Linked DNA regions of Canis lupus familiaris. The protein of the gene in region 1 purifies or fractionates together with the protein of each later gene. This does not show direct contact. Links are inferred from orthologs where the notes say so. Each region holds a gene or a part of one and is shown in the gene's direction. Other genes may lie near its edges. The genes, in order: LATS2, AMOTL2 and AJUBA.

Region 1 (4,120 bases):
ATAGGTACACAGGTGAATGCAAAAGAGACTCGATTACAGAATATCCACTGGGGTTTTATGCCATTCAAGATGCCTGGGTAGAGCACAGGATAAGATTGAAAAATGAAATTTTCAATTTCTGGTAATTAAGCCGCAATAATCGGCTTAATTACCAGAGCCCAAAGAGGAGAGAAAACAGTTGGGGGATCTAGGAAGATTTCCTTGCAGAGCTAAGACAGAGGCAGGGCTGAAAGCCTGGGTGGGAATTAGAGAGTAAAGTGTATAGGATGGCCCACCAAGGATTGCTAACTAAGGTTGTTAAAACGGCCAGAGCTAATGACCTTCATGACGGTTTCTTTTCAGATTAAAGTTTAAAAAACAAAACAAAACAAAAAAAGTTTAAAAAACTTCACAAGAGTGTATTAGGAAAGGAAATTGGACTGCCTTTTAAAACAATATTAGCCCTCACCATCACCTGCCGCAGACTGCAGGTGGTAGGAAGTATGATGCCAGGAGAGTCCAGTAGTGGGTTAGGGGTTCGTTTGCAAGCTATTATTTGTACTCACATCTCCGCACCATCCCTGCACATGCCCTTGCACCACATGCACAGCCCACAGATGGACATGCACGACTCAGAGTTTCACTCGTTGGTCTACGTTACTATCTCGTTCTGCACATCAGGAAACATTTCTCATAAAATATCCATTGCTCTGGGGTTTGATTAAATGAAAACGGACTAAATCGGGATATATATATCTGAACGTCCTTTATTACTTGCTCGCACGGGTGAAGTTGTCCTCTTCTGCCCTTACTTGTAACAGCTGACACAGACTTGGGCACTTCGGTGGCTCCTCTAGGCCTGTTAACTCACTCTCTCAGCCGAGGCTGGTGTGAGATGCCTCGAGGACGGGGTTACCAAGTTTCCGAGTAGTGCGGCTGGAGGGGCGACCCTGGAGCGGGGCGGCCGGGGCAGGTGGCGGCGGGCGGGCGGGCGGGCGGGCGGCGGGGACCCGGAGGCAGGAAGCGGCGCGGGGCAGGGCGGGCGGGCGGGGCGGCCGCCGAGCAGCAGGGCCGCGGGCGCCCCGCCCGGGCTGGTATGCGGCCGCCGGTGACGCGGGAGGCGGGGTCACGTGACGCCCGTGGAATGCCAACAATGTAGCGAATGTCCCACTTGGGTCTGCGCGCTGGAACCTCGGCGTGAGCGCCCCGGGAAGATGGAGCCGCCGCCGCCCGCGCCGCCGCCGCCCGGGGCTCCCCCGTGCCCGCGGGGCCAGCAGCCGCTCCAGCCACTGGCGCCCGGTCCCCCGGCGCGCGAGGCCCCGGAGCCGCGGACCGGGACGCCCCGGAGGGTGTAGACCGCGCCCCAGGAGGTGAGGGGGCAGGGGCGGGGGGCGTGGGGCCCGGGGCCAGGGCGGGGCGGCTGGAAGTTTCCGCGGGCCGGCGGGGCCCCGGGGCTCCGGGGCGCCCACCCTCGGGCCGAGGCTGCGGGAGGGGCGCCGGGCTCGGCAGGGCGGCCGAGGAAGTTCGTCCCGAGCGGAGCCCTCGCCCTCGCCCTGCCCCCACGGCCCCCGCCCGGCCCGGGCCCGGAGCCGCCTCCGCTGGCGGCGCGTCGTCGCGGGCCGTCCGGAGTCGGCCGAGCGGGGGCCGTGGGGAGGCAGCGCCCGGCCGCCGGCGCTGCGCCGCTTTGTTGTGCGCCGGGCTCCCGGCGGGGCTGGGGCGGCCCGAGAGGCCGTCCGCGCCGGGGGCACCGCTGCGACGGCCCGGGCTGCTCCCCGCGACCGGGGCCGGGCGCCTGCCTGCTGGCGGCCCCGGAGCACCGGGGTCCGCGCCCGCTGCGCCGCCGTCCCCGGAGGCCGCGCCGTCGGCCCGCCCGCGGGCTGTGCTGTGCGGTCGTCCCCTCGCACCCCGTGCGGTGGTCCCCCCGGGCCGGGCCGGGCCGCGCCGCCGTCCGCCGCCCGCCGCGCCCCCCGCCCCGACGGCGCCGCCCGCAGAGCCGCAGCGTTGCCCACCCGCGTCGACCCCTGCAGGTTCGCGTCCCCGGTCCTCGCGGGTCGCGGCCGGGAGAGCGGCGGCCGTTGCGTAACACGCTCCCCGTGCGCCCCAGTTCACCGACTTTGCGGAGCTCCTCTTTTCTGATGCAACCTCACGTGCGCTCGGGTCCCCGCCGGACCCCGGACTGCCCGTCACTGCTCCGCATCCTGCCCTCGGAACTCGAGGACGGGCGTCTCTCGGGGTGAAGTCCCGCTGGCGGGGTTGGGCGGCGGCGCCAGCCCGGAGCGAGCCTGCCGTCCGCTGGACGCGAGCCCCCGGTGCCCCGGAGGCGGGGAAAGGTGGACAGACCCCTGCGGGCCGGCGAAGCTCCCGGGAGGCCGCGGCCCGTGTCCGGCGCTGCAGGCAGCACGTGCTGACCCCTTCCAGGGACAAGTATTTTGTTTTCTTGCAGTCATAACCGTGGAAGTATACTTTCTTTATTTGTAGATTGATAAAGACAAATCCTAAACGAGCACTTTGACATTTTCACAGCTATGTAGGATATAAGTGACGGTGCTCTAAAAATAATAGTAATGTAGCCTTTGAAAAATCGCGCAACGGTACTCAAGCCAGAGACTGTCCATTCGGCCGATAAAAATTCGGTGGCCAAACAGCTCTCTCCCCAAAGTATTCGGCAAATATGTTAACGTTTTACTAAGAAACTTAAATGGACTAAAATTTGAATGTAAAGTCACAAAACGTGTGTTGTCTTTGTACAGGTGTCCTGTTTAAACTTTAAATTAGTAGATGAGGGGCCTTCCTTTAATAACGGAGAAAAGCAATTCGTGGCTTATTATTAGGAAATTTGTACTTAGTAGGTCTTGTTCCATATCGTTGACTCTCAGCGTAAATCCCTTCCATGGTGGATCACGATTTCCGAGTGCTAAATCAAGAGACTAAGCCGCCTTGTATCTTTTACTTTTTTTTCTTTAGCAGCTGTCGTAATAAGGTAGTAACAGAACAATCTTCCAGGAGAAGAATGCAGAGACTGTTTAAGAAAGTCTGTTTTAAATTATAATTAACAAGACACTATATGTTATTCAGCGTCTCATAAAATTTGGTCTCATTATCCAGATATATAGTACACTGTTTAATGAGTACACCAGTATTCCTTTGATATTAAAATTGCTAAACATTTAATAAATCTCAAAATGTCAAGTAATTTAAAATGGTATCTGAGCAGAAGACATCATGCAAAAGTACTAAGGTGAATTACTAGAATCATGGAATTTTAGAACTGGAAAGGATTCCCTCCATCTTGTTGGAAATAGTTTTGACCTAAGTGTAAATTGGAACTGTACATATTTCTCTCCTTAGCAAATCACAGGGTTGATGGGAGGGACTTTCCTTTGGTGGGAGGGGAATGTTTTTACAATAAGGTGCCTTGTTATTTTAAATGCTGTGTTGTAAATAGCCAGCCCTAGGCTTCTAAATCCCACTGTGTGTGTGTGGGGGGGGGGGGGGGGGGGGGGGCAGGTGGTGAAGCTGATAAATTCACCATAAACACATAGGAAAGATTTGGGAAAGCTTTTGGAGGGGGCTGGGTGTTCTGCTTTGTATTAGATAAACCAGACCAACTCTGTTTTTCAAAGGTTGCTTTTATATTTTATTTCATAGTTATGATATGAAATTTCTAAGCAATATTCCCTACTGACTTTTTAAAAAATGGCTTGAAATACAGAAGATAACTCCGTGCATTTACTTTGTCTGGACTGTAAATCTGCTTTAAAAAGGAGCACCATATCCTGATCAGCAGAATGAAGGGCTTGGGCTTGATAATCCTGAAAGTGACTGATTTCCAGCTCAAAAAATTCTCTGAATCTCCTTCCTTTTTACAAAAGCCTATTGCTTAATAATTTCTCTGGACAGAACTGGGCCTCTGTGGCACAAGTCCAGGTGTCGCCATTCCCATTATACATACGGTGGGTGGATGATTCTGTGTGAACCAGGGCTTTATTACACAGAGCATCTGTGAATGGCTCCTGGTGTTTGAAGATAGCCCTGCTTGGACTACCAGTTTCACTAAGTCCAGCTATTCTCTCAGTATTTTTAAAGCTGATGTTATTTGATTTATAGTTTCATTTTAGAAGTCGTATTCAAACAAAGTAGT
Region 2 (4,327 bases), on another chromosome or scaffold:
CCTGCATGGAGCCTGCTTCTCCCTCTGCCTGTGTCTCTGCCTCTCTCTCTCTCTCTCTCTCTCTGTGTGTCTCTCATGAATAAATAAATAAAATCTTAAAAAAAAAAAGTAAGTAAGTAAAACTGGATGGAACTGGAGGGTGTTTTGCTGAGTGAAATAAGTCAACCCGAGGACAATCATCATGTGGTTTCACTCATGTGTGGAATATAAGAAATGGTGAAAGGGACCATAAGGGAAGGGAGGCGGGAAACTGAGTGGGGAAAAGTTAGAGAGGGAGACCATGAGGGACTCCTAACTCTGGGAACCAAAGGGTTGCAGAGAGGGAGGTGGGTGAGGAGGCTCGGGTAACTGGATGATGGGCACTAAGGAGGGCATGGGATGAGCACTGAGTGCTATACTATATGTTGGTAAATTGAATTGAATTGAAATTTAAAAAGAGAAAAGAAAAAACTGAGCAGCCATCGGTTACTTGGCTTCATCACTTCTGCTCCGCGTGACCCTGGGGCAAGCTAATTAACCTCCCTGGGCCTTGGTTTCCTCATTTAAACTCAGGGATGATAACAGAATTCCCTGGGAGGATGACTTGGGAGGACTGCCTGGGATGACGAGGCGAGGAGCGGGTGGTGGCACACCGTGCACCCTGCGTAAATTCGGGGATGCCCATTACTACCTTTTTCCAGAAATGTTGGACAGAGCGCCTGCCCGCGGGTGATTCAAGTAGTTCGGTGGCTCCAATTAACCGGAAGATTCTCAACCCAGATTCACACTTCCTGTGGAGACAGGCCCTAAAAGAGCTGGCAAAGGTGTTTGTAAACAATAACAGGGCAATTCAAGGGTGGCCGCTGGCGGTGAGAGCAGTGGGGGTTCGGAGACTCGAGCCGGACCGAGGTAGAGTCCAAGCAAGCCGGGCGGGTGTGGACATCTTGACAGTCCTCCTCCCCTTGCACACACACACACACACACACACACACACACACACACACGGGGCCCCTCTCCCTGCAGCAAAGCCCAGAACCCCTTGGGGACCCGCGACTGCCCATCTCCGGGTGTCGTTTCGCGGATGGGCTGAAGGAGTGGGTGCAAGGTGGAGGTGGGGACGGGTCGGGGGGGGGGGTGGCAATGGCCGAGGGCATGAATCCGTCCCCAGCAGCCCCGGGGGCCCACGGCGGTGGCGTGGGGAGGCCGCGGAGGGAGGCGCCGCGCGTCCCGGGGACCGAGCTCCGGGACCGAGCTCCGGGGCGCGCGGCACCGCCTCCCGGGAGGAAGGCGGGGGCCGGGAGGAGGGCGGGGAGGAGGCGGAGGGCGGCGGAGGGCGGAGGAGGGCGGCGCGCTGCGAGGTTATTTGTGGTTCGCTTTGATCCCGAGGGGGAACCTGAAACTCTCACATTCCTGGCATAGCAGCCGCCTCCGGCGCGGGCCGAGCCTGGAGCTGCGCGCCGGGGCCCGGGCGGCCAGAGCGTCGGCGCCGCCGCCGAGTGCACACCGCCACCGCCGCCGCCACCGAGCCGGGCGAGCCGCGCCGGGCCGACCACGCCGAGCACCCGCGGGCCGCAGCGGTAAGGACGGCCGCCCGGCGCCTCGGGGAGCGCGGCCCGGGAGCCACGGTGCAGCCGGAGCCCCCGCGCAGCCCGCCCTTCCCGGGAGCGGGAGCGGGAGCGGGAGCCGGAGCCCGGCGCGGCGCGGCGAGCGACCCCGGGTGCGGGGCGCCCTTGCGAGGAAGCGCAGAGGCGGCCCGGGGCCGTCCCGAGCTCTGGGCGGCCCGCGGGCCCCCTGGGGCGGGGGGAGGGGGCAGCCTTTGCGGGGAGCGGGGGCTTATGCTTCGGGTCGTGGGCTGGGCAGAGGGGCGCCGCTGCGGGTTCAAGGTGCGGGCCCTGGGGCCGATCCGGTTGGGGGCAGATCACAGGTGTCCTTGCCCCCAACCCGTCCAAGAATTCCTCTTTGTCTTCCTTGGAAAATCCTCTCTGGAGCCTCGGAACGGCTCTCACTTAGAAAGAATGCGGCCGGCCGGCCAGCCCGGTGACGTCAGCGCTGGAGCATTCGGAAAACAAAGAGGGCTCGGGAGGCCGGGAGGGAGGCGGACCCGCGACGCTTAAAGACCTTGCTGGGCCACCGGCCCCCGCCCCCCCCCCCCCCCCCCGCGCGCTCCGGGTGCTCGCGGTCGGCCGGGAGCCCGGGCAGGGCGGCATCCCTGCTGCGGTGCACGCCTCCTTAGAGACCCTCGCGTGGGTTCCGTAGGCGAGGCCGAGCCCCGGCGCGAGCCGGAGTGGTTTGCTTACCGGGGAGGGGGCGCTGGTTTTCAGGAAGCCGGGGTGCGCCGGTGCAGCGAAGGTGCATGGCCGGGTCGCGGTCACAGATTTTAGTAACGGCTCAGCCGAAAGAATGTGCATCTGAGGGGTCTGACGGGGACAAACGCGGCACAGGGGCCCCGGAGGTGCTCCCGGCTCCCAGGCTCACGGCTGCGGGGGGGACACGAGGAGCCCGTCCCGAAAGCTCTGCACGCCACCCCCCCCCCCTTCTCCCCACCCTGCTCCCCACCGTCATTCTCGGCTGGAGAGTCAGCCCAGACTGATTACTTTAGGAAATGCCCCGCGGAGGAAACTCTAGGGCGAATTGATTGCAGTTTGTTTTGCCTCTGGTAACTCTGGAGTCTTGCATCTCCACGCCTCCGGGGTGTAGGGAGAGGGGGCGGCCGATTGGGTGCCAAGAAGGATGGGCACAGAGATGCCTTCCAGACTCCTCTCCCTCTCCTCATTTCTGGGCAGCCTGGAGGGAGGAGTAGATTGGCACTGGCTGCTCTGCCAACCTACCAAACCTTAAAGGCAGCAGGGCAATGGGGCTAGTTTTGTGGCCGAGAAGGGACCACATTCTTCCCACTGACCTCCCCCCATACATAAGACCTGTGGGGATAGGGGTTTTGTTTGGTTTTCCCTGAATCTAGTTAGGAGTTTTGTGTGGGAGGAGGCTGTGGAAGGAAGCTGGGTGAGGCAGGCAGCCTCGGGACATGAGCCACTGAGAGCCCAAGCTCAGAGGGCAATACCTTCCTCAGGAGATACTCCCTGCTCTTGAAGCTTCCAGCAGCCCACCCCCGCCCCAGACTCCGGTCCCTGCAACCAAGAGCTTCTCCCTCGCTCCCCTACTCCTCCAGTTAGCTCAGATAAGTGTTACCGATGGCAAAATGCTGAGTGCCCACCCTCTATGTGGCAGAGGGCCATCGGGGTCTTTTCCAAGTAGCAAGTGTACGTGTGTAGGAGGGACAGTCCTAAAGTCAAAGACACGGTGCCGCCCTTTGTTTTTCCTGGAGCACCCATGCAGTTGCTGTCAGCACACAGACTATGACTGACCCACAAACCTTGACGGGTGGCATCTTTTTCACCTCATTTCACAAAACCATCGTCCTGTTGTAGCTTCTCCTTTGATCCCTTATTATTTGCCAAACCCGATGCATTTTTGTCCTTCCTGTTCACCTTGCAGAGTGACCGTCAAGGTCATCCCGTGACAGAGAGGGCCCAGCATGGTAAAGGTGGTAGAGGGTGGTGAGTTACCCGTGCCAAGCCTAGGGCTCAGGCATGCTACATTCTAGAGGGAGCTAGGGGCTGTCTGCCTAGGGCTTCTACTAGGCTGGACTCCTTCTTTATCACCTGCCAATGAACTGGGGCCCTGTCTACCCCTAGACTGGCCTGCTCAGTGGTTGTAGCTGAACTACTCCTGCCCTGGAGTCTCTCCTCAGCCTTTTCACTGGGAAGCTGACTGCAGAGGCTGGGTGATGGATTACCTTGGAGGTTACTGGTGGCTTTCTTTAGTAAGTCTCCGTGAATATGACTGTAACGGTGGCCCTCTGCCAAGGATTTACAGTGCACCAGCACTCAGCAGCCATCGCCTTATTTAATTTTCACCTCCATGAGGCAAGCGTTATTCCGATGGAATAACTGAGGCTCACGGGTTAGGTCATTTGCCTTAATCAGTAGGTGGCAGCACTGGCAATTGAACCCAGGCTTGTGTGACCTCCCCCCCCCCCGCCCCCATAGCCTTACTCTTCACCATTATGCTTTGGACCACACTGTAACGGAAAGCACCCCCTGCCCTCTTTCCCCTGTGCTCCCACTAATTGCTCTTCTTTCCCTCCTCCCAGGTGCCCTGGGGCCAGGTGCCACCGGCCATTGTCCAGGCAGCTGTGTACAAGGCAAGGAAGCATGAGGACGCTAGAAGACTCCTCCGGGACGGTCCTGCACCGCCTCATCCAGGAGCAGCTGCGCTATGGCAACCTGACGGAGACTCGCACGCTGCTGGCCATCCAACAGCAGGCCCTGCGGGGTGGGGCTGGGGCTGG
Region 3 (4,405 bases), on another chromosome or scaffold:
TTCTCATTAGATTCACTCTCCCCTCCTCACTCTAAAGTGGGAAAGGTTCTAAATATAAGAGGCTCTGTGGATATTTTGGCTGTAAGTAGTTGGAAGGAAGAATCCAGGTTCTCCTTCCCCATCTGGAGACAGGAAAGGAGGGAGAGCCTTATGGTTAATTCTGAAGATGTCGCTCACAGCAGGTTCTGGATGCAACCTGATAGCTCCCCTCTGTTACTAATGCTTTCAGTGTTCCCTGCTTCTAGTCTGATAGTGAACTCTACTCTGGATCAGAGAAAAGCTGTAGGCCTGACAGGGAAAAAGAGAGGCTGATTCTCGGGAGAGATGAGGTCAGGGAGACAATGCAGTTAGGACAAAGAAGCCAAATAGTCTGTGCCAAATTAATTTCCCCAAAGATATTAACCTCCTTTGCTTCCCCATTCCCTAAGGCTAAACTAAGATTATGAAAGGTGTTCAAAATGTTGAAATGAAAATAATATGCATGGTTTGTTTGCATATAATTTTCATACTCATTTACTATCTAAATACAAAGGAATCCTTTTCCTTCTCCATTCTACCTCCTCCACCTCTTGCCCCTGATGTGCTAGTCAGGGCAAAGTCAGTTGTGCTAGTATTTAATTAGGCATGTTCAACTTCAGCCACCGTTTCTTCCTTTCCTTATTGATCTTTCTAGTATGGCCAACACTAGAAGCCTCCTCTTTCCCTTTTCCACCCTGACCATTTTCACTTGCTGGCTCTCTAAATGACATTTCTTTTCTTTCTCTTTGATACTCTTCATCACCAATCTCTTATGGGCCCACCTAGCCGGAGGCGTTCGCTAGCTCTACATCCAGGCCTTCTATCTCCATAGTCGCCTGAAACAGTTCCTAAAAAATCTCATTTCCAAACACCAGGGGGTGTCTCTATTCCTCTAGCTGTCCTACCCTGAAGATCGAGATTAGTCCCAACACTCTTCCTCACTCCTTTTACACATTCACCAAAGCTCTTTTCCTGCCTCTTCTGTCGCAGAGCTTTGGGTTCAGAGAGTGGTGTTTTCATTGCAGTTGATCTGTTGGTCTCTCATTCTGTCTGGACTTTCACAAATTTGCCTTTTTCTTGGTCTGCTCGTCCTTAGGTCTCCGCACCACCCTCTTGCCCACCCGGCTCCCCCCGGCTCCCCCTTTCTTTCGCGGTCTCCCACTGCTTCTCTACGCCGGCTTCCTCGCCCTTCTGGGCTCTTCACATACGCGTCTCTGAACCTCTTTACGTAGCTACCTCTCTCCCCGGCCCCCTCTTTACGGATCTCCCTCCTCTCTGCCACAGCGGGAACAAAGTCGCGATGCTTGCGCAGAACGAGCCCCACGTCGCCCCGTGCCCCTCCGCGCATTCCAACTGCAAACAAAGAGTTCCCCTCCCCTCCCCCACCTCCCCCGGTCCCAATTCCTGAGAGACAGAGCAGCAGCCGCCTACACCGCCCCTCGGCCGCCTCTGGCCTCCAGTCGGCGGGTCTCCACCCCAGGACGGGCAGCGCCAGCACCGCCCGCCCCCGCCGGCGTCCCGGGATCCCTGCGCAGACACCCCCTTCCTCTCGCTCTCGGCGCTCCACCCCTCCCGGAAAGTAGATCCGGCCAGGCAGACAAAAGTTTGGGAGAGAAGTTCGGTCCGTGTGGAGCGTGAGAGCGAGGGGGGCGGGGGCCGGGCAGAGCGGGGCGGCCGGGCGAGTGGACTCGGGGACAGGCAGACCGGCGGACGGGACAGCCGCGGCCGTACGCCCTTCTGGCCCCGCTTGGCTCCTGGTGCGCGGGGGGAAGCAGCCCCTCTCGCCGGGGGATGCTGCGGGATTCCCGGCGCCGGGCATCCGGGCCGCCCACTAGACCCCTGTGCCCACCCCGTGCCCCCGGGGAACCGGAGTCCGGCCGCGGGCAAAGAGAAGCGGCCGCCGAGACGCTGCAGGGTGCCGGGCGGGGAGGGGACTGGAGGCCCCTGGCCCGAGGGCATGGAGCGGTTAGGGGAGAAAGCTAGTCGCCTGCTGGAGAAGTTAAGGCTCTCGGACTCCGGCAGCGCCAAGTTCGGCCGCAGAAAGGGTGAATCCAGCCGGTCTGGGTCTGATGGGACCCCCGGGCCGGGCAAGGGGCGCCTGAGTGGGTTGGGGGCTCCTAGGAAATCAGGGCCCCGCGGAGCTACTGGGGGACCTGGGGATGAGCCGCTGGAGGCAGCCCGGGAGCAGGGCCCCCTGGACGCTGAGCGGAACCCGCGCGGCTCCTTTGAGGCGCAGCGCTACGAAGGCTCCTTCTCCGGGGGGCCGCCTCCCACCCGGGCCTTGCCTCTACCTCAGTCGTTGCCCCCCGACTTTCGGCTGGAGACCACGGCCCCAGCTCTAAGCCCCCGCTCCAGTTTCGCCAGTAGCTCAGCCAGCGACGCCAGCAAGCCGTCCAGCCCGCGGGGCAGCCTGCTGCTGGATGGGGCGGGAGCAGGCGGAGCCGGAGGTAGTCGACCCTGCAGCAACCGTACCAGCGGCATCAGCATGGGCTACGACCAGCGCCACGGCAGCCCCCTGCCCGCCGGGCCGTGCCTGTTTGGCCCACCCCTGGCTGGGGCTCCGGCGGGCTATTCCCCTGGAGGGGTGCCGTCCGCCTACCCCGAGCTCCACGCTGCCCTGGACCGACTGTGCGCTCACCGCCCCGCGGGGTTCGGCTGCCAGGAAAGCCGCCACTCCTATCCTCCGGCCCTAGGCAGCCCCGGAGCTCTAGCTGGCGCCGGAGTGGGACCCGCAGGGCCCCTGGAGAGGCGCGGGGCGCAGCCCGGACGACACTCCGTGACCGGCTACGGGGACTGTGCCGCGGGCGCCCGATACCAGGATGAGCTAACAGCGTTGCTGCGCCTGACGGTGGGCACGGGTGGGCGAGAAACCGGCGCCCGCGGGGAGCCCTCGGGGATTGAGCCGTCGGGTCTCGAGGAGCCGCCGGGTGCGTTCGCCGCAGAGGCCGCCCGGGCCCGGATGCGGGAGCCGGAGGCCAGAGAGGACTACTTCGGTGAGTGGGAGAAGTGGTTATGGACGGGACGGGACCCGTCACCGCGTCCGCTCCCCGCTGCCCGACGGCCAAACTGCCGGCGCCGGGAAGTCGGAGGCGGAGACGTGGAGCTAGAAGGAGGCAAGGGGGATTTCCCCTTCCCACCAGGTCTCAAGCGGACCCGGGGCTCCTTATTCCGGCCACACTCAACTCCCTGATTATCTCGTGAGCCCCATTTGAAGCTTCAGAGCCATCGTTTCTCGCGGCAGGAGGCCTCGTAGGGAGGGGACTAGGTGGGGAGCCAGAGCATCCCCCATCCTGCTCCCCCTCGGCGGCGGTGCCCCTGCAGGCTTCTGCGCGCCGCGCCCCCACCCGGGCCCAAGCTCCGCCCGCAGGAATTCGGGGAATGCGCGGGTGGGGGCGGGGCGGGCGGGCCGCGTGCGTGCCGGCTCCTGCCCGGGCGCTCCAGGTGCCCGCGGGCGGGGCGGGGCGGGGCGGGGCGGGGCGGGGTGGCGGGGTGCTGCTTGCTAACACGCGCCGAGCGGTGGCCGCGGTCGGGGAAATGGAGCCTGGGAAGGAGGGTGAAGCGCTCCGGGACGGAAGCAGGGACCTGCTGCGGGCTCGTCCCCATCCTGCTGGCGTGCTGCGGGCGTGGGCGTTCACGCCGAGACCTGGTGCTGTCCGCCTCGACTTTCCCCAACCTCCGGAAGTCAGGGCGTTAGCCTTGACCACCCGGACACCAGCATCCCTAGCAGGTTAACGACCCTGCGTAACTGCCAGAAATATCCTGGCCTCCAGTTTGGGCCACAACCTGCATCCAATTCCGGCTTGAAGTAGCACGTTATTTTCTGCTGCTGTTAAGGAAACCTAGTCGCTGTTTACCTTTAGGAAGTATTGATTGATGATATGCCTCAACTACCTGAGGATATTGGGATCTTTCAGGATCTTTTTAGCCAGCACCCACAGTCACCGCTTCATTATATAAAGAAATGTTAATGTGGTAGAAAGAACACAAATGGAAGGCCCAGGGCCTCTTCTCACCTTTCCCACCACCCATGTTCCTGCCCTGGACCCCATGCTCTACGCCTCTATGGCTCGAAATGCGGGTAGGGAGAGGAACCCTGCTAAAGAGGGCAGGTTGAGGCGGGGGAGGAACCCAGCCAGGGAGGGCAGGTTGAGAAGTAGCAGGGCTGCCAGGGACGGGACCCTCCTTGCCCTGTTCAACCGTGTCCTCCCATCCTAAGAGAGGAAAGCCTAGAGTAGATGATGCTTTGGTCAAGGGAGACTAAGTGACAAGATCCTTTTAGCAGTTTCCTTCTGGGGCCCATGAGAAGTGGCTGTTGAGTGGAAATAAGTCTCTTTGGGCAAGCCATCAGAGTGAAAAGGAAGAAAGGAGCTTGGACAGAATGCAGTAT

Evidence for each region.
Region 2: the proteins of LATS2 (region 1) and AMOTL2 purify together in Homo sapiens (affinity purification with western blotting; 3 studies listed by BioGRID). This does not show direct contact. The link is inferred for Canis lupus familiaris from reciprocal best matches to the Homo sapiens genes LATS2 and AMOTL2.
Region 3: the proteins of LATS2 (region 1) and AJUBA purify together in Homo sapiens (affinity purification with western blotting; 3 studies listed by BioGRID and IntAct, with this or other methods). This does not show direct contact. The link is inferred for Canis lupus familiaris from reciprocal best matches to the Homo sapiens genes LATS2 and AJUBA.

The regions. Positions count from the first base shown.
Region 1 is NC_049246.1:17,175,635-17,179,754, forward strand, and holds the start of LATS2 (serine/threonine-protein kinase LATS2), read left to right. Parts: upstream 1-1,218; 5' UTR 1,219-1,349; intron 1,350-4,120. UniProt on the Homo sapiens protein: Negative regulator of YAP1 in the Hippo signaling pathway that plays a pivotal role in organ size control and tumor suppression by restricting proliferation and promoting apoptosis.
Region 2 is NC_049244.1:31,681,388-31,685,714, reverse strand, and holds the start of AMOTL2 (angiomotin-like protein 2), read left to right. Parts: upstream 1-1,429; 5' UTR 1,430-1,556; intron 1,557-4,129; 5' UTR 4,130-4,190; coding exon 4,191-4,327. UniProt on the Homo sapiens protein: Regulates the translocation of phosphorylated SRC to peripheral cell-matrix adhesion sites. Required for proper architecture of actin filaments.
Region 3 is NC_049229.1:3,421,913-3,426,317, reverse strand, and holds the start of AJUBA (LIM domain-containing protein ajuba), read left to right. Parts: upstream 1-1,603; 5' UTR 1,604-1,975; coding exon 1,976-3,011; intron 3,012-4,405.